2 linked regions of the Danio rerio genome follow. The protein of the gene in region 1 binds, or shares a complex with, the protein of each later gene. Links are inferred from orthologs where the notes say so. Each region holds a gene or a part of one and is shown in the gene's direction. Other genes may lie near its edges.

Region 1 (4,124 bases):
TATCTTCCGTCCACGGTATTTGTCAAATGTATGCAAAGCATAATTATATACAACAGATAGCATTACCACGTGCAAATTTAGGCGTAGTCCAGCCGAAATATGAAACGAGGTGCTGACATGAGCGAAGCCACAGAGAGTTGAGTCGCAGCTGTTTTCAGCACCTTGGACAGAAACGCTGAACCTGGCCTAATCTCGCGTGTCTTCAGTCAGAGTTAACTTCCGGTGAGTAGCACTGTTGTGAAATCACTTGCATGTTTATTTAGGCTATTATTGTAGCAAACTAAATCTAGCTAAATGTCGGAGTTAAACTTATTTTAGCTTCAAGTAAAATGATTCCCAGTAACTTGAGGAAAAAGTGAACTTTAGTCACATACAGGGCTGTAATAGCTAGGTGGCAGTGTTTATTTTGCTGTAATGTTTGTCGATGACCAAAAAAAAAAGAAAAAAGAAAAAACTATGTGCAATATGATTTGACTTATATGTAGGATGTTAACTATTTGCGCAGGGATTAATATAACAATCAATAACTAACTAGCTTATATTGCAATCGACGTCTCTGTTCTGTTTACGTGGGCTACTAAACACATCTTTTAAAACGCAGTCTATTGGGCGCAGGTGGTCAATTTACCTCACATATTACCTCTGAGGGACAGTATGTAGGTTATTGAACGCGTTACGAGTGAACAGCTGCCCTGTCGCTCTTTCACTCGGTTGTTTTTCTGGAAATGTGGGAAATGTTTTCTGCCTGTGTCGCGCGCGCTCACACACGCGCGCACGCATACATGCACAGCGCGGTCAGCGCGCGAAAGAAGTGAAGCGCATCCGCCGAAGCAGCAGCATCGGAGTCGCACGGATATCCTCACTCGGAATTGCTTTTACATACCAGGGCTCGTCCTCCAGCGTCTCTCACCTATGCGCTTTCCACACAGGGATGCAACTCCTCAAATGTTTGGAATATATTGGGCTGTTGTATTTACGTTCGCTATAGCGGAGGTTGACTCAAATCATTGCGCTTGTACCTCTGCGTAACGCACAGGCGGTGGATTGGGATGTGCGCATTATTGGAGGTGAAAGGAAGGATCGTGTCTGATCGGATTTGATAAGGAACCCTAAAAGGGAAATAAGCTTAGTTTATAAACCCTGCGACTGGACACCTTCTGGTTTTACGCACCGTTTCTGTTCTCAAGATCGAGTGCGCGAGAGCCTCTACTGCTGCATATTATGCTTTTTCTCTTTGACTGATCGCAGCATCCAAGAGGAACCTAAAGACTGCGATGCGAGGACAGTGAGAAGGTGGATCTCAGTTGTTCGGTAGCATGGCTCCGTCCCGGAGGGACTGCAGATGTGACATGATCTTTCTGTCGGGATGCCTACTCTTGTCCGTCTTGGGATTTCAACCTGCATTGGCGAAGGTTTGCAACGATTACACAAGGCACGGCCTGGACAACAACTGGTACGCGAGGGATGGTGAGAAGTTGCCTATCATGGTCCTGATGCCGATGAATGAATCAGCGCTGATGAGCAGCATCAGTCAGGGCATCGAACCGGCCGTTCAGCTGGCCATTCAGCACATCCGCGAGTCCAGGCAGTACTCCTTCTCACTCATCACCAAAATCTACGACACAGAGGTAAATGCGTGCGGGAACGTGTACGTGCTTGTTGCGGGGGTAAACTGCGGGCAGCGTGCGTCCGGCGCGCGCTCATGTGGAAAACGCGATTTTTCTGGGGTTGTTTGTGCCATGTCGAGTGATTGATGTTCATCAGAGTTTTGGAAAAGCAAGTTTGTGCTTGTTAAATGTAAAGGTTTTGCACTGTCTTGACGATCTCTGCACGTGCCAGTGGCTGTTCATGCCGTATATTGCTTAATTCTTTCTTACTTGGACACCAGTTACCTACAGAAACCATTTCTCTTGTTCATTTGCATGAAGAGATTACTGTTCATTTGTCAGTGTTTTTTTTAATCAGCACTCTGAAATTGCAGCTACACAAACCTTATAGTTCTTGACTGGCACTCGAAATATAATATTTCACGAAACACAGCTTAAACCAGACTAAATGGTTTCTGTTATTATCTGGTTCATGATGGACTTTTCGGCCTTTAAACTGGGAACCAGGGAACCACAAGGGAGGGCTGGGGGTTCATGGAACGTTTGGAAAAAGCGAATGAAAAATGTAAAATAGATGTTAAAATATTACCAAATAAGTCAACAAAACTGCATTAAATGTGCATTTTATACAAACATACATCAAAATTAAAGCAGCAAACAATGATTTAATTAATTAATAATAAAATAATTAATATAAAAATGATTAAATAAGATTCAGACAAATAGTAAAAACTGAATTATGACGAAAAGTAAATACACAAGACACAAAGTTAGATACAATTAAATAGTAAAATGTCAATAATTGAATGCAGTACTGTAGTTAGTAGAAACGTTATTTTATTATAAACTTTGTTTTATATTATAATAATGCTCTAGAAATTCTATAGTTCCCACTTACATTTTAGAATGGGGGATCCCTCATCATATATGGGGAAAAACCCAACACTAGAGTACGTAAACTTCCTTGGGGAGACCTGGGGTCCGTTCTTCGTACCTCGCTTAAATGATCTAAGATGATTTGGCAGATCCTGGATCTTTTAATCTTGATAACTGATCTCTCGCTTATTTGGTTCTTCAAACAAGTTCGCGAATCAGATTAGAATGTCTGGATGAACTGATCTGAGATCGCTGCGTTTGTTGTTAAGGACAGATCTATCCATCCTCGAAATCATGATCAGCAATGGCTTTTGGCACACGCGATTGGCTGACGGCACAGCAGCGTAATGACATCATCTGATTAATATTCAATTATCCATGTGAGCAAAATTACATCAAATTAGCAGTAAACGGTTTGTTAAATATGACACGCAATAACCTTCCACATTTGTTGTGAGCTGCAGGCTTTACACTTTCATTTGTCAAGACAAGAGTATTCATCATGTATTTCAATGCAAATCAATGTATTTAGTTCTACATTTAGAAAAGATTTTCTTTATTATAGTACAGTTTTTTAATCGGTGTAAAGAATAACTGGTTGTTTCCAAAAGCATTTTGATATTGGTAAAGGCGTCTGCAACTTTTGTGAAGCATCAAATCACTGGCATATTAACTGTCAAAACATGTTTGTGACTGCATAAATGTATTATTGCTTTTAAAAAAAGTCACATATTGTGCATTTCTATTATAAACAATTTGTACTAAAGCGATCTAAAAAGTTCATATCAATAAGTTTTCTCTTTGCACCACCAGGTGGCAGTCTTTGTACTTTCATTTTGAGGGTGCAGATTGCATACGTTTTATTAATATGTATAACTTTATTTATTTTATTAATGACTATAACTTTAAATATATAGTTAAAAACTACTATTTTCCCAAGTGTATATAATTTTTACTGTAAGAAAATATCAGAATTCAGAACATACTTTCTGTATTATCTTTGCTTGAACTGAGCCGATCTAATCCTGTTTATATGATTTGAACCTGCTCCCGATCAGGTTTGACCTAGCAGATCTGTTGCCATGACAACAACTCTCGAATCAGCTTTGAAGAACGAAACGATCCTGGATCGTGTCAAATCGTCAATATCCAAATCCAGCTAACTGAGTAATCCACGTACGAAGAACGGACCCCAGTAAAGCAGATTAGGCTGGCTTCAAAGTGTTTTATTTAAGTATAGCATTGGCTTTCTTTATAGGCTACCTGAAGATGGCAGTAATTAATGGATCTTTTCTTGATTTCAAGAAGGTTTTTGAGGATAAGTAAAGAAAATACCGCACATTTGAACAAATGGAAAATATTGTAACACAAAGCAAGCAAACTAGACATTAATTGATTAGTAAATTGGTCAATTAAACAGTTTGCTTGATTATGGTTATGATATGTACAGTAAGTGCAACCTTCAAAACAGTTATGTATGGTGGTAATGTTCAGCTTTATAACACTCACTGTCAGTGCTGGCTTAGTAAATGAAGACTTAGAGACTTAGAAAGTGGCTAATTGTTATTTGACTATGAAGGTATGATCATAATGATTAACACTGTACACAGGTATTGGTCCACAGGTAATTCTTTTAATTAG
Region 2 (4,240 bases), on another chromosome or scaffold:
TTCGAAAAAGGATAGCTCAAAGGATAGCTTAAAGGAGCTAATAATTTTGTCTTCAAAATGGTGTTTAAAAAAATTAAAAACTGCTTTTATTTTAGCTAAAATAAAACACATAAGACTTTCACCAGAAGAAAAAACATTATCAGACATACTGTGAAAATTTCCTTGCTCTGTTAAACATAATTTGGGGAATATTTAAAAAAGCAAAAAAACAATAAAAAATTCAAAGGGGGGCTATTAATTCTGACTTCACCTAATATATACACATTTTATAAAAGCGTGTATTTAATATTGCAAAAGAAAAAAAAGAAACGTGTAGATGTGTGCTGAGACATAAACAAACATTATAGGAAACAGTAGATTACTTAAACATGAAAGTAGACGCTATATTTAAGGTGTTCTTTGTTTTTAAAATAGCGACCATTTGTTATTTGACGGCCGACACTTCTTTGACTTAAACAGACAAACACATTTAGAGCATTATAACATGAATACAATAATAGAAACATAATAAAACTGTATGCATACATCGCTTATGAATTTCATTAATAGTGTGTAATGTTGATGCTTTAAAGAACTTTGATGGAACCTTGTTTTCACTGTCCATGGTTCTGAAATCAGCGGATTACTCCACTCGACACAACCTGGTAGTACCCTACTTTTTTTGTTATTTGAAGCTGGAATGCACGAAAGGATCTGATGTTGTCTGCATAAACTAGCTAACAAAGCTGACTGCCTATATCAAACAATGGTGTGAATACCCGCAACACCACGGTATTGTGTGCATACGTCTTTAAGATGATGTAATTTTTGATAACCCATTATGTTTCTTTTCCTCCTCCCGCCGAGGCAACAACAGCTGAGGCAGTTATTTTCTCGTGCCACAGCCCTCGATCGCGAGCGCACAGAGTATGATGCTGCATCATCTTTCACCATAAACCCCACCAACGCACAACACCTGGATTATTCCAGAGGATCACACACTCAATTTTTTTCTTAACCGCTTGGATTATTGATCAACCCTATTGTGCTGAAACTGTCGTCAGATTTTATCTTTTGAAACTATGTAATCTGTTCTCTTTGGTCGGCAAAAGTTGGATTCAGATCGTTGCTTAATTTGGAATAAACTTTGTTTCTCCTTGAAAGATTAAATGGTTTTATTATATGATGTTTTTAAATGCTTATGCAAATGCACTAGTTTTTTTTTTTCAGGCAAGGAAGCACACCCCAGTGTTTCGCTGTGTGCCCTGCTGAGCTACCAATTCTTCGACTCTAGGATGTAGGTGTGCAGTTCCTCGGATATTTTGCTCTTTCTCTTTTTTTGAGCCCTGTGGAGAATATGTGCATTTAAAAATATGTGCAATTATCGGTTCAGATTTGAAATGTGATTTCTTTTGCAATTTAATGTGCATAAAAATCGACGTTTCCTAAAACACTCCCGAATCTGTGGATCATTGGAAAAGAGCAGAACTTTGTTGTTATTTGCACCCATCACTGAAACGATGGCGTTGAGTGGAAATTCTAAACCTAAAGACAGCTCTTTTCCAGATGTTATTGAATTAAACGTGGGGGGACAAGTCTATTATACACGTTATACTACGTTAATCAATACCCCTGGCTCTCTTTTGGGAAAAATATTCTCTCCCAAAAATAATGCATCGAATGATCTTGCCAGGGACCCTAAAGGTCGTTATTTCATCGACCGGGATGGTTTTTTGTTCAGATACGTGTTAGACTACCTCAGGGATAAACAGGTTGTTCTTCCTGACCACTTTCCAGAGAAAGGAAGGCTGAGGAAAGAAGCGGAATACTTTCAATTGCCTGACTTGGTTAAACTCTTAACCCCTGACGACCTAAAACCTAGTTCCGATGAATATATCCACAGTGATTACGAGGACGGGTCTCAAGGAAGCGATCAGCGAATGTGTCCTCCGCCGTCACTCATTCTCGCCGACAGAAAAAGCGGATTCTTAACCGTCGGATATCGCGGGTCTTGTACAATGGGTAGGGAAAATCGAACCGATGCCAAATTCCGGAGGGTGCCTCGGATTATGATATGCGGCAGGATTGCCCTGGCCAAAGAAGTTTTTGGCGAGACCCTAAACGAAAGCAGGGACCCTGACAGGACAGCTGATAAGTACACATCCCGCTTTTACCTAAAGTTCAAGCACCTTGAGCGCTCTTTCGACATGCTCTCGGAGTGTGGTTTTCAGATGGTCGCATGTAACTCGTCTGTGACAGCCTCAATTATCAACCAGCATACAGACGACAAGATATGGTCAAGTTACACTGAGTACGTCTTTTACCGTAAGTTTCTCCACAGATGTTTTGTCTATTGTTTTGAAATTACTTGTTCCATCTGAGGTTGTTTTAAAAATACCACTAGACGGCGCGCCTTTTTTGTATTGTTTTTTTCTCCGTTTTTTCACTAAAGGTCTCATATGGACAAAAAACATACTGCCAGTTTAGCACCTGTTCTTTATTTAAATTTGAATTTATTTGTTTAATAGGGACAATGCTCAGGAAGCAGTGATTAACAGGGACAATGTTTAGGACAGCAGTGATGTGTGGACTGAATTGGATGAAAATACAATGATTTACATTAAAGTTATTAAATATTTTTCATACCAAAACTTCATAAAAATTATTAATATATATATTTTTTTTTAACAGAAGTTTTTTAGTATAACCATCAGGACAGTGTTGATGTGTGGACTGAATTTGGTGAAAATACAGTGATTTACAGTAAAGTTATTTAATATTTTATTAATAAGGCATAAAAACTATGCAGTATAGTTTTTAACTCTTCGATACACAAGCTATAAAAACCCCTTCTAATGCACTAAATGGGTCTGAAATAACCCGTATTCATTTCCTATGTTATTTTCTCTTTTCCCTGGGCATTTTTTGGTTTCATCTTTTAAAAGCAATATTTATTTCAGCATTATATATTCATTTATACATGAATTTAATTATCCATCAATATTCAAAATATTTTTTTTCATTCACCATAAATTATTGATTTTCTTAGGTTTTGTATTACAACATCAATTTTACACACATGGGTCAAAAATGACCCACCTGTGAAAACATGAAAAAACAATAAATAAGTAAAATACAATACAGGGCGACGCAGTGGCGCAGTAGATAGTGCTGTCGCCTCACAGCAAAAAGGCAGCTGGTTCGAGCCTCAGCTGGGTCAGTTGGCGTTTCCGTGTGGAGTTTGCATGTTCTCCCTGCATTCGCGTGGGTTTCCTCCGGGTGCTCCGGTTTCCCTCACAGTTCAATGACATGTGGTACAGGTGACTTGGGTAAGCTAAATTGTCCGTTGTGTATGAGTGTGTTTGGATGTTTCCCAGAGATGGGTTGCAGCTGGTAGGGCATGCGCTGTGTAAAAATGTACTGGATAAGTTGGCGGTTCATTCTGCTGTGGTGACCCCACATATGTAAAGGGACTAAGCCGGAAAAAAATGAATGAATGATTGAATGAATGTTATCACTGTAGTGTTACTGTAATGCATATGCCTTAATAAAAGAATAATGTTTTAGCAGTTATTCAGACAAACACATTTAAGATCTGGAATATGTTTATTTAACATTTTTCCACACATTTCAATCACTGATAAATAATAACAAGCTGAAATTTTTATCATTTATTATGACTGTGATTGAGATTGTATGGATGTTTCCCCAGTGTTGGGTTGCAGCTGGAAGGGCATCCGCTGCGTAAAACATATGCTGGATGAGTTGGCGGTTCATTCCGCTATGGCGACCCCAGAATAATAAATGGACTAAGCTGAAAAGAAAATGAAGGAATGATTGAATGAATGTTATCAATATAAGAACAAAACACTGACAAAATAAAATTACACAGGAACAGTGCCATCTCAGTGCTTATGTTTATCACAAATGACAACTGCACGTTTACGCTTGCACACAGGCCTCTTGCACATAGAACACCAGCTATTGACTTTTCTGCCTTCGGCAGCTGGGCAGAACTTGCACCTCTTTATCTTCGATTGTCCTGTCTGATGTCCTCTCCAGATTGACCTCGTGGCACATAGTCTAGATCATCAGCATCAGATATTTCAGACTCTGAATCAGAACTAAGAATCCCCTTATGTTTTTCATCCTGCAGCACCTCTACAGGCATTTCAGCCGTAAATATAGAATGACTGGGACAAGCTATACTAACACTCTGGATAAAAGAAATCCAAAGCACAAGAATATTCACATCAAGTAA

What was found. The genes of interacting proteins can lie anywhere in the genome.
Region 2: the proteins of gabbr2 (region 1) and kctd16b are in contact, whole or in part, in a crystal structure (PDB 6M8R), measured with the Homo sapiens proteins. The link is inferred for Danio rerio from reciprocal best matches to the Homo sapiens genes GABBR2 and KCTD16. Residues at the interface, in NP_005449.5 of Homo sapiens: Ile882, Asn883, Ile888, Gln889, Arg891, Leu892, Ser893, Leu894, Gln895, Leu896, Pro897, Ile898, Leu899; in NP_001357415.1 of Homo sapiens: Asn30, Gly32, Gly33, Gln34, Val35, Tyr36, Asp64, Leu65, Ala66, Lys67, Asp68, Ser69, Arg72, Phe74, Gly79, Phe80, Arg83.

Annotation. Positions count from the first base shown.
Region 1 is NC_133194.1:36,756,643-36,760,766, forward strand, and holds the start of gabbr2 (gamma-aminobutyric acid type B receptor subunit 2 precursor), read left to right. Parts: upstream 1-1,316; coding exon 1,317-1,628; intron 1,629-4,124. UniProt on the Homo sapiens protein: Component of a heterodimeric G-protein coupled receptor for GABA, formed by GABBR1 and GABBR2. Within the heterodimeric GABA receptor, only GABBR1 seems to bind agonists, while GABBR2 mediates coupling to G proteins.
Region 2 is NC_133196.1:44,213,646-44,217,885, forward strand, and holds the start of kctd16b (BTB/POZ domain-containing protein KCTD16b), read left to right. Parts: upstream 1-1,430; 5' UTR 1,431-1,499; coding exon 1,500-2,304; intron 2,305-3,569; exon of another isoform or gene 3,570-3,793; intron 3,794-4,240. UniProt on the Homo sapiens protein: Auxiliary subunit of GABA-B receptors that determine the pharmacology and kinetics of the receptor response. Increases agonist potency and markedly alter the G-protein signaling of the receptors by accelerating onset and promoting desensitization.